Astyanax mexicanus: one gene and its partners. The protein of the gene in region 1 binds, or shares a complex with, the protein of each later gene. Links are inferred from orthologs where the notes say so. Each region holds a gene or a part of one and is shown in the gene's direction. Other genes may lie near its edges. The genes, in order: med4, med23, med18 and med8.

Evidence for each region.
Region 2: med4 (region 1) and med23 share a complex: the UniProt entries of both Homo sapiens proteins name them as parts of the mediator complex. The link is inferred for Astyanax mexicanus from reciprocal best matches to the Homo sapiens genes MED4 and MED23.
Region 3: med4 (region 1) and med18 share a complex: the UniProt entries of both Homo sapiens proteins name them as parts of the mediator complex. The link is inferred for Astyanax mexicanus from reciprocal best matches to the Homo sapiens genes MED4 and MED18.
Region 4: med4 (region 1) and med8 share a complex: the UniProt entries of both Homo sapiens proteins name them as parts of the mediator complex. The link is inferred for Astyanax mexicanus from reciprocal best matches to the Homo sapiens genes MED4 and MED8.

What each region holds. Positions count from the first base shown.
Region 1 is NC_064418.1:243,452-250,893, reverse strand, and holds the start of med4 (mediator of RNA polymerase II transcription subunit 4), read left to right. Parts: upstream 1-4,441; 5' UTR 4,442-4,470; coding exon 4,471-4,550; intron 4,551-5,475; coding exon 5,476-5,542; intron 5,543-5,926; coding exon 5,927-6,097; intron 6,098-6,383; coding exon 6,384-6,441; intron 6,442-7,137; coding exon 7,138-7,224; intron 7,225-7,442. UniProt on the Homo sapiens protein: Component of the Mediator complex, a coactivator involved in the regulated transcription of nearly all RNA polymerase II-dependent genes.
Region 2 is NC_064408.1:41,856,145-41,863,305, forward strand, and holds the start of med23 (mediator of RNA polymerase II transcription subunit 23), read left to right. Parts: upstream 1-4,149; 5' UTR 4,150-4,283; coding exon 4,284-4,334; intron 4,335-5,510; coding exon 5,511-5,542; intron 5,543-5,643; coding exon 5,644-5,731; intron 5,732-5,839; coding exon 5,840-5,964; intron 5,965-6,188; coding exon 6,189-6,300; intron 6,301-6,581; coding exon 6,582-6,680; intron 6,681-7,068; coding exon 7,069-7,161. UniProt on the Homo sapiens protein: Required for transcriptional activation subsequent to the assembly of the pre-initiation complex. Component of the Mediator complex, a coactivator involved in the regulated transcription of nearly all RNA polymerase II-dependent genes.
Region 3 is NC_064413.1:34,556,982-34,563,882, forward strand, and holds the start of med18 (mediator of RNA polymerase II transcription subunit 18), read left to right. Parts: upstream 1-3,893; 5' UTR 3,894-4,002; intron 4,003-4,319; exon of another isoform or gene 4,320-4,453; intron 4,454-5,760; 5' UTR 5,761-5,794; coding exon 5,795-5,867; intron 5,868-6,792; coding exon 6,793-6,901. UniProt on the Homo sapiens protein: Component of the Mediator complex, a coactivator involved in the regulated transcription of nearly all RNA polymerase II-dependent genes.
Region 4 is NC_064412.1:54,814,483-54,822,469, forward strand, and holds the start of med8 (mediator of RNA polymerase II transcription subunit 8), read left to right. Parts: upstream 1-4,977; 5' UTR 4,978-5,072; coding exon 5,073-5,078; intron 5,079-6,164; coding exon 6,165-6,286; intron 6,287-6,397; coding exon 6,398-6,542; intron 6,543-6,639; coding exon 6,640-6,780; intron 6,781-7,516; coding exon 7,517-7,604; intron 7,605-7,987. Other genes in the region: KICSTOR complex protein SZT2, read right to left, coding at 89-245, 575-700, 1,250-1,420, 2,246-2,419, 2,987-3,112, 4,439-4,462. UniProt on the Homo sapiens protein: Component of the Mediator complex, a coactivator involved in the regulated transcription of nearly all RNA polymerase II-dependent genes.

The sequences.
Region 1 (7,442 bases):
CTGCTTATAACACTGTATCGTCCTCCTGGACCATACTCAAATTTTATTAGTGAATTTGCTGACTTTCTAGCAGCAGTAATTCTTCTTTCTGATAAGATCATAATTGTTGGAGACTTTAATATCCACTTTGAAAAGGACCAGGATCCACTAAAAATTGCATTTAAATCAGTTTTAGATGCTCTAGGCTTTAAACAAAATGTAATTGGCCCCACTCACCGATGTAGTCATACATTAGATTTAGTTTTGACACTGGGTATTGAGGCTGAGAATATAGTTACTCTTTCTCAACATGACTCAATATCCGATCATTATCTAATTATGTTTGAAATAGTTTTTAATCAAAATATCCTCCTCCCGCCCCGCTATATCAGCAAGCGTAAAATAACAACCGCAATTGCTAATGAATTTGTAAATAATCTCCCCGACTTAACCATCTCCCTTCCGTCCTATGAGCATGATCTCGAGCACAAAACAGAAAATCTACAAACTGTGCTCCGCTCTAACCTTGACCGCGTAGCGCCGACAAAAATAAAACAAATCAGGGATAAAAAGCTAGCACCGTGGTATAATGACCACACACGTACATTAAAACAAACCGCTCGTAACTTTGAACGTAAATGGCGACACACAAAACTAGAATTTTTCCGGCTAGCATGGCAGCATAGTCTCACAGACTACAAAAAAGCCCTAATTAAAACAAAATCCCAGTATATTTCATCGCTTATTGAGAAAAATAGAGACAATCCTAGATTCCTTTTCACTACTGTGGCTAAACTCACCGGCAGTCAAAAACAAACTAGCTCCGTTATCCCTGTCGACATTAATAGTAATGATTTCATGAAGTTCTTTGATGATAAAATTAATAGCATTAGACAAAAAATTCAGTATCACCCCCAAAATTTACTTATAGATATTAATGAATGCTGCTCCAGCTCTGAGACACACCTAGAGTGTTTCAGCCCGGTTACAGAAAAAGATTTACTTAGTGTAATTAACTCATCAAAATCAACATCATGTATATTAGATCCAGTACCCACACAATTATTGAAACAGGCACTGCCAAAGGTGGGAAAATCATTACTAGAAATAGTAAATTCATCCCTTAGCATGGGCTACGTACCCAATTCTCTTAAATTGGCGGTCATTAAGCCCATTATCAAAAAGCCAAATCTGGACCCCCGCGAGCTTGCTAATTATAGACTAATTTCTAATCTTTCCTTTATAGCCAAAATCCTAGAAAAAATTGTGTTTAACCAGCTGCGCTTGTATCTACAAAGTAATAGTATGCATGAGGTTTTTCAATCTGGATTTAGACAAAACCATAGTACTGAAACAACTCTACTTAGAGTAACTAATGATTTACTTTCAGCTCTTGATAGGGGCAGTAATGCCATCCTTGTACTGCTAGATCTAAGTGCTGCCTTTGACACCATAGATCACGCTATTCTACTTGATAGGTTAGAAAATCTTATAGGAATTAAAGGATCAGCCCTCACCTGGTTCAGATCTTATCTGAGAGATCGATTCCAGTGTGTTTACTTAAATAACGAATGCTCTTATCAGTCTAGAGTAAAATATGGTGTCCCTCAAGGATCAATACTGGGTCCATTACTCTTTACTCTTTATATGCTACCACTGGGTAAAATTATCCGTAGGCATGGTATTAACTTTCACTGCTATGCTGATGACACGCAACTTTACATATCTGCTAAACCCAACGAGGAGCTCTGTACAAATCAAATAACAGACTGTATTAAAGACATTAAAAATTGGATGACACACAACTTTCTCTTACTTAATTCTGATAAAACTGAGGTCCTTCTATTAGGTCCTAATATTGATAAAAACATAAATGTTAATACTGTAGACATAGACGGTCACTTAATTATACCTGGTAAAACTGTGAGAAACCTTGGGGTCATCTTTGACCCAATTCTTTCGTTTGATGCTCACATATGTAGCATAGTCAAAATTGCATTCTTCCACTTAAGAAATATAGCTAAAATCCGCAGTATACTCTCTCTGGAAGATGCTGAGAAGCTGGTACATGCATTCATAACCTCCAGGCTGGACTACTGCAACGCGTTGTTGGCTGGAAGTCCACATAAATTACTCCATAAACTCCAGCTAGTTCAGAATGCAGCCGCAAGAGTGCTTACCAGAGCTAGAAAGTTCGGTCACATTACACCTATTCTTTCATCCCTACACTGGCTACCTGTTAAATTTCATATAGATTATAAAATACTTCTCCTGACGTATAAATCCCTCAATGGTCTGGCCCCGCATTATCTACAGGAACTCCTTACTCCTTACAATCCGCCGCGTTCACTCCGCTCTCAAGACGCTGGCATGTTATTAGTCCCGCGTATTAGAAAAAACTATGCAGGAGGAAGAGCGTTCTTTTATAAAGCTCCCCAACTTTGGAATAGCCTCCCTATTAATATACGAGACTCAGACACACTCTCAATCTTTAAATCTAGACTCAAAACATTTCTATTTGCTCAAGCTTTTGAGTAATGTCTCATTACAATTTTCTTCCTCTTACAGCTTATCCAGCAAATATAAACCCTGTCCTAATCATCTGCTTTCTCTTTCTCTCCCCATGTCCTGAGCTGCTGCTACCAGTGCCCATCCCACTCCAGCAGAGTTTTATAAAACCATTCTAACCCCTTTTTCTTCCCTCCCCTCTCTGTTCTCTCTCTCTATCTTTCTCACATGTGCTGAGACGCCTGGCCGGCCGGTCTTCCTGGATGTGTCCGTCTGTGGTTCCAGCTTTCAGGAATCAGCCCTGTCCTTCTACTCATCAGAATTATTACACAGCCTTTCTAACTCCTGCTTTTTGTTTCTCTTCCTTTCCTTTCTGTTTTCTCTATCTATCTCTTTTACATGTATGGAGATGCTGTTCCTGATGTTCCCAGCCTGGCTCTCCACTGCCCGCTGTGTTGTTCTCCGGCTCTGCAGCCCTGCACTGATTACCATTAACACACTCAGTATCTGTTTCTGTATTAGCCATAGCTCTATAGTTTGTGCCCATCACATTCTTATATTCATAAATTAGTACCTGTTATATTAGCCATAGTTCACATTAATTCTCTGTACTGTTTTTGTTCTGTTTGTTGTTTGTTGTTTGTTTGTACTGAGCGGGTCAACCCGAGTAGGATGGGTTCCACGGACTGAGTCTTGGTTCCTTCCAAGGTTTCTTCCTCTTAAAGGGAGTTTTTTGCCACTGTGTCACCATAAAATTTAGTACTGCTGTGAAATCTATACTCTGTTTTGTGTTCTGTACACATAGCATCTAGGTTCAGATGATTAAAACATTTAATACATTTAATAAAACAATTTATTTTCTGTAAATGTGTTTTTTTTGTCAATCAAGATTTACAGTGATCTGTAAGATATGTGTTATATAAATGTTAAGATGATTCCAGTCAGAAAGAGTTTTTTATAGTTATTTATTCTTCATATCAATCAGTCAACCTCTATATATATGTGGAGCATCTTTTGCTGTAGTGGAGAGTAAACAGCTGCTCTGAAGTTCATGCTCAGGTCCAGGAGGTGAAAAAAGGACAGGTAGTTTGCTTTTGCTGTTTTATTTTTGCAGCTATAACTGCACAGCTGCACCAAGAGATGCAGTGTGGGTACGAGAGAGAAACACGTAGCGCTAATGCTAATGCATAAAAGCAAAAAGACGAATGAATTCAGATTTGACCGTTCACATTCATGTTGCATGTTGCATGCGTGGATACGTATCTGATTTAGGATTACATATGAAGGTGAATCAAATCTGATTTGAAAAAATCAGATTTGGCACATTCACACAGCCATGAAAAAATCAGATCTGAGCCACATAAGTCAGATGTGAGTCACTTCAGCCTGGTAATGTGAACGTTAGAGGTGGGCAACAAAATACTTTATTATCACAATCAACATTTTTTTTAGAAACAATAGAACAGTTAAAAACTGTTTTTTTTAATAGTTTTACCACTGATTTGCTTTCTTTTAAATCTTGTTTTGTTTTATTGTACAACACTTGATGTCTTTTAAATGTGCCTATAAATAAATTGACTTGACTTGACTTGAAATCAAAGTTTGCCTTAACATTAGGAAAATAAATATTTTTCAGGTTAAAAAGGAGCAGCCACTATACAAAAATAAAATAAAAATTCTCCCCTCACTAGACATCTTTTCTAGTTCTTTCTTTTTTATTTCTTTTTTCAAATAGAATTGTTCTTAGAAAAAAAAAACAATAAAATAAGGAATTTTCTTTCAGTGCAATTCTATTTTTTTCTTTTACATCCCAAAAATATTAAGGTGGTGTTTCTCTCCATACCTGTTGTCTGATTGGCTGGCTCCGCTGAACCTCGTGACTCTTAGCAACACCAAAAGATCCTCCCTCCGCGCGGGGGCGCTGTGATTAAAGCTCTATTACCCCCCCCCCCCCTCCTCCTCTCTCTCTCAGTGTGAGGGGAAATGAGCGCGATGGCGGCGGGGGAGAGGAGCACTAAGGAGAAGCTGCTCTCTGCGCTCAGTGATATGGAGGTTTTATCGCGGTGAGTGATAATACGAAATTAATCTGAGGGATTATTGATTATTTATCAGATGTGTGATTATTTATTCCGCTCTGAGAGACACAGAGAGCGCGCGGGACTGTTTACTGATCAGCACTTCTGCTCATCCCGCCTGTTTTCACACACCTCTGCTCTGATTGGCTGGTGGCGTTTATGTCTCATAGCCTCGATTGGTTGGTAGCGCTGTCATCAAATATTCCGCCGGTCTGTTGCCCAATGAGAGCAGGCAGGGGGCGGGACCTGTCTGAATACGGGTAGAAAAGAAATTCTAGTTGAGCGGTTCTGTTACTGACTGCTTGTATTCTATTTTTCAGAATTAAAAGAAATAAAAAAGAATTTATATAATATATAAATAACTTATAAACTATTGTAAAATAATAAAATAATTAGTAAATCGATTATTAGTTTTTTTTGTCCCTCATAAATAAATAAAATGAATGAATGAATAAAAGCTTCCCATCAGTACAGCAGCTGTTCTGGCTTTAATGTAAATCAGCTTAGTCGATTCGTTAATCAGGCTAGATTTTAAGATTTTAACAGAGTTCTGTTTCTGTTTGAGTTTGATGGTTTCGCTCTTTGATTCTTTTTTATTTTATTTTATTTTTTTTGCCATTTTTAATTGAAGGCCCTCTTTGCGTGTGCAGGCTTCACAACATTAATCTTTGTTTTTGTTTATCGGGCACCACTTTTAATTTATATGAACAGATCAGATACTAATAAATTCACTGAAAATTACAAAGTTTATGTACTTGCAAAAGTGTATACTTATCATGTTTTATAATGCTGGACTTTTGTTGGAAAATTATTTATGAAATTCTACCCTGTAAGAAAGAGTATAAGTTCAGACCCAAAAGGGAAAAACCTGCTGTTGTATAATATCTGTGTTTTTTTGTGTTTGTTTCTGCAGAGAGCTGATAGAGATGCTCGCTCTGTCCCGAACCCAGAAGCTCCCGCAGCCCGGAGAGGACACTCAGGTACAGTGTGTGTCTCGTGTGAAAATTAAAGTTTGATTAATGCACTTTACAGATATTTATTTTAGGTTTGATTCTGGGATGCTGTAGTTTGTGGAAAATGTTATGATATTAAACTTTAATCATTAACTTTTAGATGAACATATATTTAAATGAATAGGAAATTAGAAATCTCACACATTTATTAAAAATCTTAAATGAACTGATGATTTGCATAAAAGTCAGCATATTCTATATTCCATAAACATCATATTAAAATATTTGCTTATATAATTTTCTCCTGTTTTGTAAATATTAGTAATTATGTTTATTGTGTTTAGCAGCAGTTTTTTGTGCTTTGTCAGATTGTGTTTATATATGGTTTATATATTGGTGGTGTATACGCAGGTGCTGGAGCTGCTGGTTCAGAGGGATAAGGAGTTTCAGGAGCTGATGCAGACGGCGGTGGAACAGGGCAGGATCCATCAGGAGATGCAGCAGCTGGAGAAAGAAGCAGAAAAGAGAGACAGTGACATTCAGCTGCTGCAGAAACAGCTGAAAGAGGCCGAGCACATCCTGGTGAGGCTGATCTTCAGTAGTGATGTTCTTGTTTAATATTCTTATTTTAAATAAATAGTGAAGTGATCTATTAGTCTATGAAGGAACACACGAGGAATCATGTAGTAACTTAAAAACAGTGTTAAACAAACTAAAACTTTTTGGTACTACATTTAGGTTCTTTTATCTGTGGAGCTTTTTTTTTGACTGCTAAAAACACAGACATTAAACATTTCTTTATTTATCTTTATATTATATTTATATTATATCAGGGTTTATATAAAATTGAATATCTTCTCTCCTCCAGGCGACGGCTGTTTACCAGGCCAAAGAGAAGCTCAAGTCCATCGAAAAGGCCAGAAAAGGTACTAAAATTCAGTTTGAACACAGCAGGAACACACACACACACACACACACACACACACACACACACACACCACTGTAATATTAACACTGTGTAATAAAATACAGTAACATGCCTAAATTAATGGGACAGCAGTATAGATATTAATCTTGAGGAGTTACTTTAGAGGATTACTTGGGAATTCCTGCATGTACACGTTGTGAGGTGCTATCTTGTGGGTGAGGTTGGACACTGGCCCATGTGCTCAGTGATGAGACAAAGTGAGTGGATGTTAAACATTCCACAATCTCTATCTAGGCCATAGAAGCCATTACCACCTACAGTAGACAGCACAGTGACCGGAATTATCAGTGCAAACAGAGAAGCGCCTCAGAAATCACATCCACATTCAGTGCAGGAGATCCCACACGTATACAGGATCCTGCAGGTCAACATATCATTTAATAGTGTGAGAAAAGTCATAGGCGATATCAATCAGTGTATTATTTTTATGATGAACACTTTTATAACATCACAGTTTTATCTCCCTTTCACTGGACTAGTTTGTTTAATATAAATACTGATTAGCTGTTGATTATCCGTCTCGTTTGTGATCAGTAAATGAAGAGTCTCTGCTCACACTTCCTCTGAATTAATGATTGTGTAGCTCTGATTAAATGTTTGGTTTAATAATAATTTGTTTGTGTTTATTTTGCAGGCAGCATCTCTTCAGAGGAAATAATTAAGTATGCGCACAGGATAAGCGCCAGTAATGCAGTGTGTGCTCCTCTTAACTGGGTTCCAGGTATTAATTTTATATATATATTTACTTCTTTTTCCTTATTTTTCCATCTCAAGCATCTTTTGCTGTTTTGCTGGGTTCACACCGGCATAATTCTTTTTAGTGTTTCCCCACTTTTTTGTTTATTGCTGTTTATTATAAAACCCATCGATTTACGACATTTAACATGATTTAGGATTAACTTTAACTTCAACAAAATAGACTCTCAACTAAATGAGCAT
Region 2 (7,161 bases), on another chromosome or scaffold:
GCCAGCAGCCGGAACTGTTATTCTACGTTTTTTTTTTAGTTTTTTTTTTTTCAGTTTTTTTTTTAGTTTGTTTGTTTTATTTATTTATTTATTTATTTTACATTTTCTTAAGTTTTCTTTATATTTAAACCTATAATAGACAAATTGTTCAATGGTTCAATAGATATTTAGCTTTGTTTTATTTATTAATTTTTTTAGCTTTGTATTTAGATTTGTTTTATTTTATTTTTATTTTTTTACGTTTTCTTAAGTTTTCTTTATTTTTAAACCTATCATAGACAAATTGTTCAATGGTTCAAAAGATATTTAGCTTTTTATAAAGAGGCAGACACTGTGGAGGAGGTGAGTGACAGGCTATGTGGTGAATGAGGTGAGTGAATGATTGAGACTTTGTGAATTAAATTAAGGGATTTCTGTTCGTGTTACACTGAAGGCACTTTAATATTTATACTTCTGCTCTGTAAATACAGAGCGGGGTCAGTCAGCGGCGGCTGTGGGCACGCGCGATTCATTTACAATGTGTTCGTGGAGCGGTGTGTGTGTGGGACAAAGTCGCTAAGTTGGCAACACTGGACAGCGGGGATTGTGCTGCTGCAGCTCCGACTAGTGGTTGGATGAGGAACTGCAGCTTCCTGTAAGCGAGCAGTTTCACCGGTTTCACCAGTTTCATCCACACACAGCTCTGATAAACTGCTTATCCCTAAACTCCTGAATCAGATCGGCTAAAATCAGAAGAATATCTGCCGATCGCCGATACCGTATTTGGCTGAACATCGTCTGATACCGATACACTGCCGATCGATCGTTCCATCTCTAGTTATTTGGTTTATGTGTGTGTTTTAAGAATGAGGGCCCCAAAATGGCTAGATCCGCCCCTGGCTGCTTTAACAACTTCAGTCTGAGGAGAGTGTGTGATATTTAGGAACACAGTTAGCATCATGCTAATTGCTGGTTTATAAGCTTCCTCTGCATTAATCTAGCAGCTCTAGTGTAACTAATCAAACAAACAAACAATATTCGGAGAAGTTGTGAAAATCTGACATTTGATTAAATCATTCCTTTAAGGTCAGGGGAATAACATAAACATGTCACTGTCAATAAATGCCTCACAAATCATCCAACAGCAACCACATTTCAGATAAAACAGACACCATGAGAGCTTTTCAGTCAAGTATGTATTGCTGCAGACTGGAGCACCTCCAAAGAGGAGGGGCTTAGCTCCAAATGGGACGTCCACAGCTCCAAAGGGGAGGGGCTTACCTCCAAGTGGGAAGTCCATCAACAGTATACAGCTCGACTGGGAGCGCGTTTGTGCGCGAGACCTCTCTCACCACGGCTCCGACGAATGTCATAATAAAAGTCTTACGTGATTATTATTATTACTATTATTCTATTACATCAAATTTAATGTTATATAGAATGTACTATCACATCATATTATATTATATTATATAAAAATCTACATCGTAAGGCAGGGAGACATCACTCAACACAGCTCCATTTCTCTGCCGAATGCCACAACAAAAGTCCTCCGTGATTAAAAGGCTCATGGATGTCAATAAATATATTAGTCAACAATTAATGATTATTTATATTTCTTAAATGTCAATATAATAATATACGTGTAGTGTGTATGTATTTATAATATTATTGGCTATGAATAAACAACTGCATTTATTATTTAGATCTTTACTATTTTATAATTTGAAAAATTCACAGCATGGCAAATGTTTAAAGGTTTTAAATAAATAAAATGTAGTTGCAATGTGCACAACATGCTTTTAGACTCTTAGAAAATGCATTTTAATATAAACAAACATTTAATAAACGAAATAGATTAATTAATTAACCTTTGGGGTTATTTACAAGCACAAAACGTTGTAAAAAACACCATGCTGCGTAACATCAAGCACCATCCTACTTGGAGGTAGGCTCCGCCTGTTTGAAGGGAATGTTCCTCCCCTTTGGAGGTGCTCCAGGCTGCAGCTATACCCTTCTCTTTTCAGTAGCCAGCCTACTGACTCCACTGCAAAGCGGTCATGTTTTAAATCCGACCTGTGGTGTTTACTCTGGGGAAGCACTGCCCCCTAGTGTTGAGCATCACTCACCACATTTTTTTTATGTATAATATTTATGTCATTGCTCATGGTCTTTATAGAGCCACACGATGTTCATTATTTTAAATGAAAGCCTTTAACACCATTGATCATATTTTGTTGACTGGAATATTTGTTTTTAAAAATGGTGATGAGTCAGCAGCCAAACCATGCAGTTTCCCTTCACACAAAAAAATATAAAACACAAGTATATAAATAAATAAAGATATAAAGCCTCTTTTGTTGTGGGACAAATTGTGTTGATAATAAATATACAGAACATTAGTTGTTATTATGTTTTAATTCTTTGATTATTTCTAAATACAAACATATAAATACATTAAACTGTGCAGGACAAATTAGGCTCAAATTTTGCTGGAAGGACAAACTAAGGGGGGGAAAGGGAAGAGTTCATACAAAGTTAAAAGGATCCACTGTTGTACAGGTTAGCTGTATTTTTATAAAAGTAAATTGATTAAGGATGGCAATGTCGTTCAAGAAACAACACATATAGCTGCATGTTGTTTACAGCTGATGGAACTTCCTGTTGTAGATGTGACTTGTAGAATATTCTCAGGGGTCACTAATAGGCGGACCGCGGTCCGGGTCCGGACCCAGACATTGTCCAATCCGGACCCAAACCAATAAACTACTGAGAAGGATTTAATTCTGACAGTGTTCATTTAAAGCGGTGGAACTTTTATTGTTTTTATGGTTCACGTGCTTTGCGACGCATTAAACTTACACCCCAATCACGTGTGCTGTAAGATCAGCAAACGCTCTCCTCTGCCAATCAGATCTGTGCATATGCGGGAGCACGGAGCCACACAGGCGAAGCAGGCGGTGAGAAATCGGAGAATAAAGCGAGAAAATAAAAAATAAATTAAGATGATAATGTAATGTAACCGAGCAAAACAGTCCACTTTACTCCACCTGATCAGAACTCCCTCGTTCGCAGGCGCTCTCTCTACTCCCGAAACAACCCTACCTTAAAACTAAGGCAACCCCCAGAGGACAAAAAGCATTGACAACTCCCCCATCAGTTTTACCCACAACATAATAAAGTCTGATACAGTACTAATATTAAATACAATAAAACTGCTGTTTTTAAACAAAGCTGATACAAGTTCAGCAAACATTTCTCCATATATTGTATGATTTGTCATTCATGTAATTATCATGACAGGCAGGCCTAAATCTAATATAAATAAAAATAGAATAAATATATAGCATTTTGAAACAAAGTTAACATACAGATTCACATTAATAGACTCGATAAGTTAAATTATTCAGGGTGTTTTAATTTATTTTATGATAGGTTGATAATGTAATTATTGTGACAGACCTATTTACAACAATACATATTGTTGAAATGTACTAGTATGTGTAATTTGTAACACTGACAGAACTACAAGGCTTCTTCAGTGTACAGGATATAATACTAAATCATAACGCAAGTTAAAAATGGCGAAGGTCCGGACCTTGGCCTGGCAAAATTTTCTTTAACTGGACCGTACTGAATTCTATTTAAATACCCCTGTTCTAGATGTTTCAGATGGGGTATTGTGTGACGGTAACAGGAAAGAGTGAAAACCAGGGACACAAATAAATGTGTATTTTAACTTTATGGATATAATATATGTATATTATGGATATTTAATATTATGGATTTATATGGAAAATATTTTAAAGCATACATGGGACTTGAAGTCACAAAGCAATGCAAGAAAATTACATGTGAAGGATTTTAATAATTATATTTTATGGTAAAATTTATAGAGAGTGGGGACAGGTAACAAATGCTATTTTTTCAGTGTTCTATATATATATATATATATATTACATATCTTACTTTTGCAATTAGGTCAAGACACTATGCTTATTAATAAAATGTATTTTAACGTTATTTTGTGTGCACATTTATATATGTCATTTCCTGGAGACAGAAATGGCACAGATTCTGTGGAATATGCCAGTTTTTTGTAGAGAATAACGAGGAGGAGGAGGAGTGTTTTTACTGGATCCGGAACCCTGGTTTGGGGCTGCTGGAGGATCAGGAGGGGGGATTGTTATTGAAGCTGCGCGGCGGCTCCGCTGTAGGAGGAGCGGCTGATCATGTATCTAAAGCAGAAATTAAACTAAGTGTAAAATATTCCGGCGCTTTTTCTACGCTGTGAGGGTTAAACCATGGCGGTCCCGATGGAGAGTCAGCTGCAGAGTATCTTTGAGGACGTGGTGGTGCGTGTTTGTGTTTCTGGAGCTGAAACGGAGAGTTAGAGTCGCTTTAGCCGAGCTAGAGAAACTAGCCCTTATCAGAAAAACTGAACTGATTTAAACTCCCCCAACTTTATAACAGGAGCTCAGATATGATTATCTATAACTTCACTGTATTAAGCATTCCATTAGCTCCTTAGTAAACGGGGGTTAATCTCCACGCTGAAAGCTGTATGAAGAGTTAGCTAACGTTAGCTAGCTTAGCTTTTAGGTTAGCTAGCATTAGCTAGGTTACCATTGTCTTCTCTACGATGCTCTCTGAGTTAGCTAAATGACGGTTAAGGTTCAGATAAACCATTCACTTACCGAGTTTAGCTAACGTTATCTGAACATAACCTAATTATCTCAGAAAATATGGAGTAAAACCAGAAGCAACAGTTAAAGTGTTCATGTAGCTTGAGGTAGAATAAATTGATTTAAACAGCCTCAGAGAAAAATACACTTATTTTGATCAAAATTAGGCCAGCTACACCACAGACACACTATATATATAACCTATATTTGGCCATATCTTAAAATCTGGAGCCTGATTATTAAAAATAAAATGTGCAGAGAAACGTTGTAAAGTCTGCAGTTTTGGTTTTGACCTCCACCTAAAAAAAGTGTGATAGATAGATAGATAGATAGATAGATAGATAGATAGATAGATAGATAGATACTTTATTGATCCCTGAGGGGAAATTCTACAAAATAGAAAATTATAAATGATGTCACATTTTGCTTTGCACAAAATCCCCCTCTGTCATTGTGATACACAGATATTTTACTTCAGTTAGGGCTGTGGCATATTGTATCATATTTATTAATATCGTACAAATGTGAGACTATAAAAACTGAATATCGTGATAATAGCAATATTCTTGAAAGCAGTCTTTGTTGCAGCAGTGTATTCTTGATCTTTTTTTGTCATTCCAGACTATAGTTATCGCAAAAATAGATTGGATTATGATGATAATATTTTAAAGTCATGTTGCCCACCCCTGACTGATTTTTATACAAATTAGAAATGTTGCTGTTATACACTTAAAAATGGAAGATAACACCAATTTCTTGTGTTCATAAGATTATTAATGTCTTCGTTTTATGTAATTCATAATCAAAGCTTTGTAAAAATTCATGTTTTTTTTTTTTACCCCTCAGAAAACAGAAGTAATTGAGGAGGCTTTCGCTGGGTATGTGACAGTATACATTGAGTTTTTACATCATACAAACATTTGTGGTTATGTGGCATGTTCTTCTAAATTAAGTATAAATTATATTTCTATAACTACAGGATGTTTATGGACACCCCTGAAGATGAAAGAACCAAACTTATCAGCTGTTTAGGAGCATTCAGGCAATACTGGAGCAGTCTTCCTGAGGTTAGTTACACAAAAACCTGTGCCACTTTGCCCCAGGGCATTGTCTTGTCCTTTTATTAACTTTTAAGTATATCATGGGGCATTATGCAGTGCTGCTCTTTTCTGCAGGAGTCCCATGAGCAGTGTGTGCAGTGGATCGTGAGGTTTATCCACAGCCAGCACAGTCCAAAACGCATCTCCTTCCTCTATGACTGCTTGGCCATGGCGGTGGAGACCAGTCTGCTGCCCCCCAGGTACTTACATGTATAAGACAAATTACACAAAACTGTAGTGGTAGAAGTAAGGCTAATAATAAAATTTAATAAAATAAATCTAGTTAAAAAAAAAAATGTTTTATTGATCTATGAACACAACAGACTGTTAATCGATTTTAGTGGTGTATTGTGAACTGTGTGTAAATAATAAAAAATATTATGATGAATATTATAAATAATATTGTGTGTTTTTGTGTTTATAGAATGGTCTGCCAGGCTCTGATCAACTCTGATTCTCTGGAGTGGGAACGCACACAACTCTGGGCTTTGACCTTTAAACTCATTCGCAAAATCATCGGTGGAGTTGATTATAAGGTACAGTGGAATCTTCACTTTATATAAAATTCCAGAATAATTGAATGCATTAACACTTTAACATTCAAAAAACTAGTTTTGAGTATTTGCCTATGGTCTCATTTTGTGTTATGCGCTTTAATAGTTAGGGAATAAAAACACAGTCGAGCGGGGGGCATATGTTTTGTTACCAAATACTAACACATGTCTGTCTCCAACCATTTACTAAATGTTAACTTGGAAGTGTTAATCTGTTGTTAGATGGCCTAAAACATAACCACCTGTTTTGTGTTCTGTTGCAGGGTGTGAGAGACCTTCTGAAGGCTGTTTTGGATAAAGTTCAGACCATCCCCAACCTGGTCAGCTCGGCTGTAGTGCATCAGCTGCTGCCTGTGCGAGAGGTATAGTTCAGTGTAGCATGGAATAGCTACATCTTTTATTACAATACATTTACGATAAGTGATATTGAACAATAAAGGAAGAGCCTGGTTCTGTCAGCTAGGGCTAGCCAAGATAGACAAGATAGCCCCAGAATAGACAGTCTTAAAACTTTTAATAGCCTGTTTAAAACTCACAAATCATTATTACTATTCAAAATCATAGCATGTGGGACAAGTTAGTTTTTTTTGCTGTAACATAAATATATTTCTGGGATGATTATGAAGCCCTTTGTGGTCCAAGTCAGTTGTGTTGAAATGTGGAAAGCAACATGGGCTCTTCTTTTTGGTTTGAGAATAAGGACCACTGTATTTATATTAATAACATGGATCTCTGTTGTTGTTGTTGAAGGTGGTGGAGTACATCCTGGACAGGAATGCTTGTCTCCTTCCAGCTTATTTTGCTGTGAATGAAATCCGGAAACTCTACCCAGAGGGACAGCTC
Region 3 (6,901 bases), on another chromosome or scaffold:
CCGGACGGAAGGTGTAACTTCGCGGGTGGAATTGAGACATATAAATGTTTATCCCATAATGTCCAGAAAAAGAGAAGTTGATGCAGACGGACGGCTGTGCTTCAAGGCGACCGGTATGCCTTTTGTGTTACGAAGAGTGTTACTGACCAAAATAAACGCTTTTTAGGAGAGATATAAGTTCTGTGTAAATATTTATAAGACAATAGCTGACAAAATCTGTTTTAATGACGTTAATAAACATCACTGGGACAGCGCTAGTCGCAGTTTCACCGCAGCAAAGTACGAGGACGTGAATAACTTATCTAACCAGCCTTTACTAATTTCTGCCCTCAATAACCCTTTCAATAACCTCCAATAGCCTTTAATAGTCTTCAGTAGCCTTCAACAGTCTAACCTTGCAGCCGTGGTGTGTCCACTAAACTCCGTAGTTATAAACATCCTGAGGTTAGCAGCGCGATAACTGACCTGTTTATAATGTAATCACAGCAGTGACTCATGCTCTAAACGGCTGCTGTTAGCTGATTGGGCTGAAAGATGAACTGTAGAGAGCTGTATTATTCGGTTACAAAAATCTTTATTTCATACACAGAAGAACTTAAAATTTTTAAAAACGCTCCAGACTGGCTGAGCTGAGCCCTGTAGCCCGTGGCTGGGCTGTAGCTCTGACTCAGTAAAGACTGCGGACTTGTGGTGCTGCTGCTGCAGCTCCCACTAGTGGTTGGATGAGGAACTGCTAAATCTGAGGAAATGCTATGTTCTTAACAGCTCACAATTTTTGATTTTATATTTATTAAGCCTTATTTCAGTTAATAATTTCAAAGTTAATATAACTTGATGTCATTTCTATTCACTTGAATAGTTTGGTTCTTGATTGATGGAGTTTCATGACATGACAAATTAAAAGGATTTATGTTAATAGAGCAACAAGCAAACATTTTTTCCATGCAACTGTAATATTTGATTGAATAAATAATATATTGAGAGTTATTTAACATTAAGGAGTAATTACATTCATTTACATATATTACATTTGGTTACATTTTATTACATTTATAAGTTACATCTGGCCCTCGGAGGACAGCCAATATGCCAATGTGGCCCTCGGCCAAAATGAGTTTGACACCCCTGCTGTAAGACATCTTCTAGTTTTTTCTCACTCAGTTGTGTTTGCAAAAAGACAAAATCTCCAAATTTGCTTTTTAAAATTTCTGGGAACACAGGAAGTAAGAACTGTAGTTTTTTTCTGGGCCCAGTTCTAGTAACACTGATGTTTTGACCTGTAGCCCAGTGGAGATTGTATTTGCCTATTCGATCATATTTATGAGCACATAAACCAAAGTGTATGGCACCAAAGCAAGAAAAACTTACCAGTTTGCTACCTTTCTTAAATAAAAAAAACAATACAATAAAGTTTACATCACTTGTTTACTGAGGTTAAACAATTTCAGCAATTTTACCTTTGAGCTGGCACCAAAACGTGCTGCTTAACTTTTTAAACACTAAAATGACTAAATGCTATATCATTCAAGTGATATACATAAAATTGGCATCAAACAATGAATAAAAGCATTTGCAAATGCATGTCATGTATTAATGACATAACATGTCAATCCATGTGGGTGGAGCTTCAAAAACTCTTTTTCCATATAGCATGACAAATATGGTGCAAATAGATAACTGTGAGGTGATACATTTTAAATATATATATATATATATATATATATATATATATATATATATATATATATATATATATATATACAGCTCTGGAAAAGATACCACTTAAAATTATGTGTTTCTTTGATTTTACCAAATTGAAAATCTCATAATCAATCAAGAATAGAACATAATCAAGAGAAAGATGGATGATTACAAGCCATATAAATGACAATATATTTATTTGGATTTTGGTAGAAATGTTGTCCATAGTTTATAAAATAAAACAAAAATGTTCATTTTACATTTAACATGTACCTATAAATAGCAAAATCAGACAAACTGATTCAGAAACTGAAGTGGTCTCTTAACTTTTTCCAGTGCATTCATTTCACAGATTTGTTTACACAATGTTAGTGAATATCAGCATATCTGAATGTATGGCATAGTAACTTTCAAAATCCCACCCCCAACATTTCCACACACACACACAGACACACAAGTGCGCTCAAACATACACATACTCACATAAACTTAAACCTATACAGAAACATGAATCTCCAGGTAAACACACACACAGGCATCCACACATAAGCAAATATACACACATATGAGCACACACATACATATACACACATATAAGCAAACACATACACACAAGCAAACACTGGAGAGTAAAAAAAGCAAACTCACCAAGACATGTATGCAAGCACTTTTTCTCTTATGGGTGTACTTACTTTTGGTAACAGCGATTTAGACATAAATAAATAGCTGTGTGTTGAGTTATTTTGAGGGTGCAGCAAACGTACACCGTTATACAAGATGTACACTGACTATTTTAAATTGTATCAAATTGGCATATCTTCATTGTTGTCCTATGAAAAAGTAAATATTAATAAAATGAATTAATAACTCACTTCTGTTACATACTGTATTTTTTAAGCCCATCTAACCTTTAAAATGACATTATTTAAAAAGAACATTTGTTTGATCTTCTATACTTAGTCATAAAGGAGTCACACACTCACATTGTACGGCATGCAATGTTCTTTTGAAGAACAAGATAATGTCTTAACATTGAATCAAGAAAAGATTTAACATCACATGATTTCAAAGCAAACTGGATACAAGTTGCTTAAAGTAAATACTGATTGATTTATGATTGATAAATGAATACAGATTATTCATTAACAGTCTATCATATTGAATGCCCTGCAGAGGGTGGTGAAGGCTGCACAGGGGATTGTTGCCTCCCCAGCACCATGGACATCTACACCTCCATACAAAGGAAAAGGGCCACCTGCACCACCCACCACCCTCTCTTTATGTCCCGCTCCAGGCAGAAGCTGCATCAAGTACAAAACAACAAGACTGAAAAACAGCTTAATTCCAGAACTGCACTGACAAATCATATTGCTGCTACTCTCCAACTCTCCTTTATATTTTGTGTATTTATCTTTATATTTTCATTTTTTTATATATATATTTTTTTATCTTTATATTTTATTATTTATATTTACTTAACAATTGCTCCTTTTTGGTGGAATTGGACCGTGAGTTTATTAATTTTATTCCACCTGTACCACATGTGATGTGAATGACAATAAAGTCTCCTTGAATAAGATTATCACGTGAAGAAAAGAAAACAACAGACAAGCTCACTCACACACGCACAGACATACACATATAAATGTCTTGGTGCTCTACTGATTGTACTGGTCTAACACACATGCATGCAAACACACACACAATATAAAGTAAAACACCAAGGTTTATATGATAATTCCTGAAATTTAATATGGCGCAACATAAAATTTGCTTATGGACTTAAAAATGTCACTTCTTCATATGTAACATTTCTTCTTCATTTTCTTCTGTATTGGTTGCTTTCTTTGTTTTTTTTTTGTTTTTTTTTTTTCGTTTTTTGTTAAGATTGATTAATTTGCTATTTTCCTGTACATTACAATTATATTGAACTAATACAACATTTAATATATATATATATTGTAAAAGTTTACACGTTTGAGGACATTGTGTTGTGCTGTTTTTACAAATTTGGCAACCCAAATGTACGCGCATGCGCAAAGCCTGTACCTCTACAACGAACAGAGTTGCCAGTTTCGCGGTTTTTCAGCCAAATTGGGCTTGTTTCAAAATCCACTCGCGGATGAAAATTTAGGGGTGGCGGGGTGCATTGTTTGGGCTACTTTTTAAAAATTACCGCGCTCGCCAAAAAAGTCACAAAAAAGAAAAAAAAACACACAATCTAACCAGAAATCACCCCGCGATGAAAAAAAGGTTAAAGAGGATAGAAGGGAGTTCAGGATGGGAAAGAAACATAAATGAGTAAGTCAAGTTTTTTTTTTTTTGCTAATTATGTTACTATTAAATGTTCTTGTCTGGGATATAAAACTGTTATGAAAGAACTAATAAAACACAATAATACAAAAAAAATACAATACAAAAATACAATATTAATGACTTTAAGGTAAATAGCAATACTGATAATAAATATATTATAAATATAAAATACTAAGTCGTAGTTGTTTTGCCATTTGCGTCGAATGTAAGACAGAAATATTTAATATTTTGGGCTAGGTTAAGCTTCTGAAGGCCGGGATTTAGACTGACTTTGAGTATTTATGGTGGACCTGGCAACCCTGACAATGAAAGCGCTAGCAGGCTAAGCGACAACAGAGTGCACAGACAGCAGTGTTACACAGCCGGTCAGTCAGATAACTGACGGTTAAGACGTTATAGGCTGAATATTTCACGCTTTCCTCTTTACACAGAGCCGGTATGTGTTATATTCAGAGCTGGGTTTGTAGTATTTGTCTATCTTTCTGAATTATTTACTTGTTTCGTTTAGGCCTCGTCTTTCTCACACACACCTCCAGTGCAGTGGCGCCACTGTGCTGTAACATTTGAGTAACACACACACAGAGACAGGCACACCAGGACCTTTTAAAACACTAATTTACCAAAATAAAAAGTATTTAACTGCTAGTTTAAATGTTACATTTGTTCCTGGTTTATTTAAGGGTAGTATATTAATAACTTAACTAGAGTTAACGAGCTAACGCTAACTAGCTCATCGTGACCACAAACAGCCTTTGATTACTAACCTGTAACCTAGCTACTTTAGGGTCACTTAATATTTATCTATCACTCTTTTATCTAGTTAACCAGCTAACCTACGTTTATTTAATGCTGTACTTAATGATGTTTTTAATTTTTCACAGAAGTAGTAGTTAACTAGCTGTTTGAGTAATGGGAGCCCCGCCAGTCACCGTATATATACAGCTCTGGAAAAAAAATAAGAGACCACTTAAAAAGTTTTTTTTATTATTATTATTTTACCAAATTGAAAACCTCTGGAATATAATCAAGTGGAAGATGGATGATCACAAGTCATCAAACCAAGCTAAACTGCTTGAATTTTGCAGGAGGAGTGGCATAAAGTTATCCAAAAGCAGTGTGTAAGACTGGTGGAGATCATGCCAAGGTGCTTGAAAGCTGTGATTAAAAAACAGGGTTATTCCAACAAATTTTGATTTCTGAACTCTTAAAACTTTATGAATATGAACTTGTTTTCTTTGCATTATTTGAGTTCTGGAAATTCTGCATCTTTTTTTGTTGTTTCAGCCATTTCTCATTTTCTGCACATAAATGCTCTACATGACAGTATTGTTATTTTGAATTTGGGAGAAATGTTGTCCGTAGTTTATAGAATAAACTACCTATAAATAGAAAAATCAGAGACACTTATTCAGAAACTGAAGTGGTCTCTTATTTTTTTTATATATATATAGATAGATAGATAGATAGATAGATAGATTATTATTGATTATCCATTGGCTGACACTGACCACGCTACATATACTTACTATATTGTTTTAAGCTATATATTTGTGTGTAAAACCCCCAAAAAATGTGAAAACCAATTTTTCAGACACCTTTCATTTTATTGTTTGCTCAAGCTAACAAACAGCCTTTGATTACTAACCTGTAACCTAACTACTTTCGGGTCTAGCACTCTTTTATCTACTTAACTAGCTAATTTAACCTACGTTGATTTAATGCTGTGTTTAATTTTTTTTACAGAAGTTGAAGGTAACTGTAACTCCCCGGGTGAGTGATGGAAGCCCCGCCGGTCACCGTGATGCCCGTTACCGGGGGCACGATAAACATGATGGAGTATTTACTGCAGGGTAAGATACTGTCTGTTTTCAGCTGTCGATCCCGTTTCTCCGCTGTTTCAGCGAGGCATGGTCATTACAATGATTCCAAATGATTATCAACAACCGGGTTAAACCAGTTGTATCGTTATGAAGCTTCGATACCTGTACCCACGCCGCCATCTAGTGTTTAGTTCTAACTTTTTCTGAAGTTTAACTTTCTTTCTAAACTCAGATTTTCATTTACAAATACACTTTAACTACAAAACGGATAGATGTACACATGTGATCTTTAGCATAACTGGGAAGGGATGGAACAGGGCTGTGTTGAAATGAACAGCTGCAACCAGCTTAAAACTAGATTTGTACAATTATTGTAGAATATTTTGCATTTACCTTTTTCATTCCAGGCAGGTTATTTTGATGATTACATGTAATTCCATTTACATATTTGTAGAGGTGGGCAATGGGGCCCTAAAAGTATTTTTGTGAAAACAATATTTTTGGCGATGTGACAAAATATTTGGATAATAAAATAAATTATTAAAAAAACACTGTTGCAACAAAATTATTGTATTTGATTTGCCAGTATTATTGCATAGAGTATGATATGGCCAATCCCTAATTGAGGTTGAAACCAAAGGTAATGATCTAACGTGTTACAATACTATTAATGCGCTCTATATATTTAGGACTGGTTTGAATCTTTAAATTTTAGCGATATTGGAATTGTTTTTTTTTTGTGAATATCTTTTCCTTTTCCTTTTTTCCCCAAGAACAAGTACAACATACAAAAACAAACAAAAGTATAGAACAATTAAATATTTTTTAAAAAGAATTATCAGCATCATTTGACTTGGTCAACACTGTTTTGATGATCTGTAGTATTACTTTATTATTACTTTATCTGTAGTATTACTGTATTTCTGAAATTAATACTGTATTCTGCACTCCATAGGCAGTGTGCTGGACCAGTCCTTAGACAGTCTCCTCCATCGTCTAAGAGGTCTGTGTGACAACATGGAACCAGAGAGCTTTGCTGATCATGAACTAGTTTACCTTCTTAA
Region 4 (7,987 bases), on another chromosome or scaffold:
GTTATTAGGTGATTACTTTGGTGAATGACATCAGTTAATTTTAGGTTGCTAGGTTGTTGTCGTAATTAATTTGTGTGTCATTTGTTACCTGCGGTAGAGTTTGGGGGGAGGAGCTGAAGGGCTAGTATCCCCTGTCGGACCATACTGACCAATCCCACGTCTGCAGTTACCATGGAAACACCCTGCTTCCTCTGCAGATGCTCCTCCATGGCATCAACGGCAAGGGTGGAACAGGTGCAATCACACTGAATAAAAACACAAACATTTAATTCATGTTGTTTCAATCCATTTAAAAAAAAAACATTTTTTATTCATCACTTTTTACAACAGACATTGCTGCTTCTTTATTAGTGACACAGATTTCAGATAATTTCACAATGCAATTTTTTGCAAAACTAATGTTTTAAAGGTATCCTGTCTATTTTTATTAGTTTGCAAACCTAAAAAAAAAGTGTAATAATGCGCTGTGTTTATATTATCTAGCACTGTTCTAGACTCTGTTCTGACTGTTTTCTTGATTAAAACAGCATTGACAACATCAACAAGAGTGAGATCTGGTTGGTGAAACACTTGCCTGGTTATGCTGCTGCTGTAAAACCTCAGCGATGTTGTTCTCCACAGCGCGGAGCTGCTTGTAGATCAGATGTAGAAACTGGTCCAGGTCTGCTGTGCAGTCCAGCTGGCTTCCCTGAACCAACACCTGAAGAACAGGATTAAAATTTAAACACAAAGCCTCAACACAACAACAAAAATAAAACAATAAAGACGTTTTATCACAATCACAATAAAGTACTTCTGAGATACTGTAATCTATCCTTAGCCATATAATTTGTCTCCTGCTATACAGGATTTAAACATTTAATCAATCTAGAGAGCCTAATCTAGTTTTTGTATACTTTAATTAATACTTTATTTAAGTTTAGTATGTGTTTGATCACTGTCTATCTTGATATTAAGTGTATTAATGACTACAGCTCTCAGAGCACCTTAAATAAAGCTTATCTTGCACTTACAACCTGTGCCCACCTTAAAATAGACAAATCATAGAAAAAAGCATTTTCTGCAGGAAAAGTAGATTGGTTGCACAGCTAAAGTGGTTTCCAGTTGTTGCAGTGATGTGGCTTGGTAGCTGCCATGGTCAACCATTACTAGGTGGTTGATCGCAGTAGAGAGAAACGTGTGTCATACTGAAAGTGTGATGTCATCCGCTCTTAATCCAAGTGATTAGAGGGAAGTGTGATGTAATGACCTGGTGTGAGCTGAGGCCGACGATGGAGGAGTATGCCAGGATGGTGATGAAGATTTCAGGCTGAAACAGGAAGTCTGTGCCGGGAATTTTAAACGGAGCAGCCAGTCCAGCCAGACATCTCGAGAGGGCATGGAAGACTTCATCAAAGATCATCTCGCCTGTGCTGTCATCCTGCACAACACAGAGAATCACAATCACATCAAACGTAAGGAAAAAAACAGCCTATTATACTGCTGTAGCTTTACATCACTGACTAAAATATATATATATATATATATATATATATATATAAGTGGATTTTACTACCCAGATGGTTGATACGTCTTTCCTAAATGGTTTCCATTTGTTGCTAGATATTGACTATCTCAGGTGGTTGTTAGGTGGTTGCTATGGTATCCTAGATGGCTGCTAAGGTGTTGCTAAGGGGTTGCATTCCTCGGTGGTTACCATATCTTTCTTAAATGTTTGCTCAGGTGGTTGCTATGGTGTGGCTGAGAGGTGTCGCACAAGGTACGGTATTCCATGTGGCAAATGCTATGCTATGCTATGGCACCTAACAAGTGCCATCATTCACCGCAGTAACCACCCAATAACAATGACAAAGCTGCTACATGTAAGAGGTTCTTGGCTGGTTGCTATGGTGTTGCTATGTGAACACAAGATGTGTGCCATAATGTTGTGAAGAGGATTGTCATGGCATTCAGCTGCAACTGTTCATACAATAACCCATATGGTCGGTCAGGTGTTGGAAAAAAGCTAGTGTGATACCCCATATAGATAGTTGTTACCATAGCACCCCATTCACTTTGTGATCTCCAGGCGCTGCATATTAATACAATAATTTAAATTGAAAATGTGAGACTGCTGCTCCAGCCTTATCTTTAATCAAGGTTTGCACTAAACACACACACACACACAGTTTAATGAAGAAAAAAAAAAGATAATTAATGGAGTTAGAAGATTAATGGATGGTTTGAGCCAAACAAGCAACTTTACCACAATCCCGGTGGAGGGGCTGAGGTCCAGCTCAATGATAAAGCGGTACCGCCGGGCCAGGAAGGTGACCCGTGTGGACGGCACCAGCAGGTACGGCATGGAGGTGTGAGGAGAATCCGGCTGCCATCCTTTTGGCAGAATACTGAGAATATCCAGTTCATTCTCTGATTTGAGCTACAAGCACAACATATTTTTCCTGATTACTGACATTTATTTACTCTTTTTATCTAAGTCTATTTAAATCAGTAATAAATGTAATATACTGTATTATCAATTCAAACATAACACCCTGAATGTGACTTTAAGCCAAAATAAGGAGTACAAGTAATTACTGTATGCTTTAGAATGTGCAAAAGTGCCTCTGTAGAAGATGTACATTAATTTTTCATTTAAAATAAAAAAATATGTAACTAAATTGTAATGTATCCTAATTGCATAGGAATTGTGTATCAAAAACAATCCATAGCACATATTTATCATAGCATCTTTAATATTTATAGTTCATAGTTATTTTTTATATTTCACTCTATTTTCGCAATATTTAAATATATATCATTTAAATAAATGATGTTATTTCTATCATGCAGCCCTAACAACAAATTACCTGTAGGCTAATCTCACGTAGGCCAAGCATACATACCATTTCTATTCTATGCATTTTAACATTATCTATCAAAAACATTAAAATAATCAAATATGACACAGTGACTCTATTCAGTACCATTCTGCCCGATCACGTACCAGCTCAGACTTTGGGGACGGCCGGATGACCTGGTTTAACTTGCTGAGGAACCAGGATAGACGCACATTTCTTGATATGTGGTAATCTTCTTTCATCAACAGGTAAACCTGGTCTGCCTCCTCCACCTGCAGAGAAAACACAGCCAGGTTTTTACAAAAAAAAAAAAAAACACCACAGATATGTTCAAGTGCAGCATCACAGACAATTATGATTTATATGATCACTATAACAGTGCTATTGTTTAGGTTATGTGTTTATTCTTTTTGTAAAAAAGAATAAATAAGGTGGGCCTCCACCTTATTGTAAACACAAGCTTAAATAAAGATTAACACCAAATAAAGAGAATTAACACCAGCAAATTAGCAATACCGTATCACTAGGCCTGCCACGATACCAATATTTTGTGGAAGATATAGTGTCCCGGAAACTATTGCGATAAACAATATTACAGTCATTTTAAGACCATTCAAATGCCACTTATATTATATATAATATATAACTCACCCAGATTGAGAAATAACCCCCAGTTATCCACTGCAACACACCAACCACAAGTATTTAATGGTCATAATACAACTATATTAGTGTTTATCATGATCATTTTTCTGGAACAATATATTGTGACAGGCCTAAGTAAAAGTGTTAAAAACAGGCGGTGAAGGTGAAGAGTACAAAATGAGGGCTCTCTAAAATAAGAGCACACCTCTGTAGCTAACAAATCTATAACGAGACTATTATAAAGGTCAGCTGATAAAGAAAATAAACAAATAGCAATTTATCAGGCAGCTGCAAGTCACTGCATGAACCAGTGGATTAAAAACTGTTATCTCTCTTCACATAATTAACGTTATGGGTTTATAGAAAGTAGATTAAATTACTTGAGGGTTCAAATAAATAAATCAATAAATACATGCTTGTGCAGAGATTTACTATATGAGACTTCTTGCTTTTTTTAAAAATCTGAACATTGCAGTGAGATGTGGGAACCACTTTAGGGAGGGGCTGGTAAACAACACTGGCAAGCTAATATGACAGGATATTGTGTGTGTGTGTGTGTGTGTGTGTGTGTGTGTGTGTGTTTAGTGGACTTATATAGCTACTACAACATTATATTTAATTTTCTAAACACTGGTTCTCATCTTTTTATATTTATGTTACTTCTTTTTGCTTTATTCAGATGAAAACTGCTATAAAAAGCTATAAACTGCCTTTCCCATGTCTGACCAGGTTTAGAGTAAATTAGTTTTATAATAAACATCCCCTAAAAGTTAAAATTTATATTTTTCACAGCAGAAATATTAAGTTTTAGACACGCAGAGCTCTGAAATACACTTTCTTTAACTAAGCAGTAACTGACCCAGCCTCTGTAATGATTTATAAATCACAAGACTGTCAGTAAACAAGTTCAGCAGAGCAGAGTAAACACATAAACAGCATTAGCGCGGCTTTACCTCAGAGTCCGGCCTGTCTGCCATGCCTGGTTTCGCATTACTGGCGAATTCTCTGCTTCCCCTTCAGCTTCTGTTAACAGAATAAATTAAATTAGCGCTGCTGGTATTTTTATTTCTATTTATCACCGCCAAGTTCGCCCAGCTGTCTGCAGTTAGCTTAGCATAAAGCTAAACAACTCCTCCGGAGCGCTAAACAGTGAACACCACTAGTGATTTAAATAATGTCAAAATAAAAGTCCTCATCCGGTCAAAGCATATTGAAGTCATATTAAAGCATACAACTCTTGAAAAAAATAAGAGACCACTTAAAAATTATTTGATTTTACCAAATATTTTTATTTTTTTTATTTCAGCCATTGCTCAATTTCTGCAAAAAATGTTCTAAATTATATATTTTTATTTGGAATTTGGGAGAAATTCCATTCATTCATACTAGAGACCAAAATAAGACTTCATCATTTTAAAATGAATGACAAAAAAGATTAAATGAGACATATAACATATTGATAATGGTGATACATGAACGTATTAGAGGGGACTTCTTTTTGTGTTTTGCAAAGCGGGATGTCTGGGCTCTGTGTTTCCGGTATTTCTGGTGTTTGGTGGTTGGGAGCTGCGCTGCTTGTGAATAAAGATGCAGGTAAAACTGAAATATTTTGTAATTTTATTATTTTTTACCGCTTATTAGTACCGTCAGGGTCATTCCTACATAACTTCTGAAGGTGTTATTCGGGGGCTGAATTGATGTTAGTGTGTGTTTAGGCGAGTTTACTGTGTGTAAAAGCGCTGTATGCAGGTTAGCCTGTGTTCCTTAGATTTAATAATAAAACAAGCCTAAAATCTCCTCTTAATTCCACTCTTACTGATATAAACTTTAATTCAGGTTCTCTGTAGTACGTATGATCTCAGATTTTAGCAATACATTGTTAACTAAATGTAATTATGGCTCATCGTAGTTGAACTTCACTGTAAAGAGACCATGTCCATATATCCCCCAAAAAACTTATTGTGACTAATATTAGTAATGGGCGGTGTGACCAACAAATTTATATCAGGGCTTTTATATAGCTGTCTGCCTTATTTTACTGTTAGATGTACATATTAAATAAACATTTGGGCTTTAAATTAAGGGCTTGATTACTATTGGGTTTACTTTGTCCTACAAAATTACACCATAAATATTAATAAAATAAATATTTTAAATAGTTCCATAAACACTATAAATAGAACTAAAATACTTAATGTTTAAGTATTCAAAAAGAGATAATCCTCAAAAGCTCTATTGCACAATTGAAGCCGTTAGAGGCATTACAGTATTAAAATCAGCCACTATTCCCCTTCTTTCTCCAGTAAAAAATATATATTCAATAAATTCAGTCTCTGTTCCTGAGTGAATAATTGCTTCTATTTCACTCTAAAAAAAAAAAACTCATACAGTGAGGAACAGCAGCAGGAGCTCCCCAGATAAAGTGTTTTCTTAATCAATTAGTTTGCCCACTTATTTAGTTAAATGTTTTTGTATAGTTAAATGTTTTTGTATAGTTAAATGTTTTTTGGTAAAATTGCTGTTTTTATCTGCACAAATAAGAAATATAAACAAATGCAGATTTTTGATCACAATAATGCATATATGCAAACCGAATGGGGTTCAAAATAGACCAGCATTCTAGTTTAAAATAAGAGATTTTAACATGTGGTCTGAAAATCGTTTTCTTTTTTTTTTCAGCAAAGAGAAGAGAAGCAGTTGGAGGCGTCTGTGGAGTCTCTGATTTCTCGCGTTGCACATCTGAAGAATTCTCTGCAGAGCTTCATCTATAAGCTGGAAAATGAATATGACAGATTAACATGGTGAGTATCAGGTCATGGCTTACATTACATGTAAATATATACATTAAATAGCCATAGATAACTATATTGCTATTGATAACTGCTCATGCAGATGTGTTTCGTTTATCACAGGCCTTCAGTGCTGGACAACTTTGCCCTTTTGTCAGGGCAGTTAAACACAGTGAATAAACTGTTAAGAAATGAGAAAACTCCATCTTACCGGAACCAAGTCATCATTCCTCTGCTGCTGTCGCCAGATAGAGACGAAGATTTAGCGGTTAGTATCTGTATCTCTTTCTGATATCGTTATGATATCGATATATGTCTGTAAACAGGGGCTAAATTACATCCTAATTTGTGTTCCTTCTATTCAGAAACTCACAGAGCAGAGGGTGCCTGTGTTCAGTCATGAGATTGTTCCGGATCACCTCCGGACAAAACCGGACCCGGAAGTGGAGGAGCAGGAGAAACAGCTGAGTGTAGAAGCTGCCAGGATTGGACCTGAAGTAGCTCAGGTACTGCATTAACAACCATACACTGTACTGTCACATGAGATGAAATGTATTTGAAAACCTACTTCTATGTTGTTTTTGTGTTTCATATTGCTATTGCTCCATATATCAATATTACTTTAATAACTAACTCTGTGTATGTATTAGTGCATCTATAAAAGTAGAATATTATTAAAAAGTTACTGTGTTTCAGTAATTCAGTTGAAAAATGTGAAACTCTTATATTATTTAGATGTATTAAACACAGAGTGATCTATTTTAAGCATTTATTTATTTTATTGTTGATGATAATGGCTTATATTATATACACATTATATTATAAGACCAGTTGGTACTTTTGGCAGTAAGGGCAGTGTGCCAAGTCCTGCTGGAAAATGAAATCCGCATCTCCATAAAAGTTGTCAGTAGCAGAGGGAAGCATGAAACCCTCTGAACTTAATAAAACACAGTGGATCAACACCAGCAGATGACATGTCTCTCCAAACCATCACTGATTGGTGGAAACTTCACACCTCGACCTCGAGCAGTTTGGACTGTGTGTCTCTCCACTCTTCCTCCAGACTCTGCTTCCTTAATTTAGAAATGAAATTTAAAATAAAATTTACTGTTGATCAGTGATGATAATATCTTTTATGAGTGCCCTGCTTCTCAGTGGTCAGCTTACATTTATTTATATATTTTTTGTCTTCCTGTAACAGTACTGAAAACTAATCAGTGGTTTGTTTGTTTGTTTAAACAGAAACAGATCCAGACTATGAATAAACTGTGTTCGAGTCTGTTGGAGAAGCTCAACAATCCTCGTGATGATCGAGAGGCAGAAACTGCAGGTGAGTTCAAAGTTGTGTTGTGTTTGTGGTGTTACCTACAATGCCTTGCAAAAGTATTCTGAACTTGAACTTTTCATCCTTTTGCCACATGTCAGGCTTCAAACATGAAGATATGAAATTGTAATTTTTTGTGAAGAATCAACAACAAGTGGGACACAATCGTGAAGTGGAACTGCTGTTCACAAACCATCCAACCTGACTGAGCTCGAGCCTTTTTTTGCAAGAAAAAATGGGCAAAAACTTCAGTCTCTCGATGTGCAAAACTGATAAAGAGAAAGACCCCAAGCGACTTGCAGCTGTAATGGCAGCAAAAGGTGGTGCTACAAAGTATTAACACAAGGGGGCTGAATAATATTGCACGCCCCAGTTTTCAGGTTTTTATT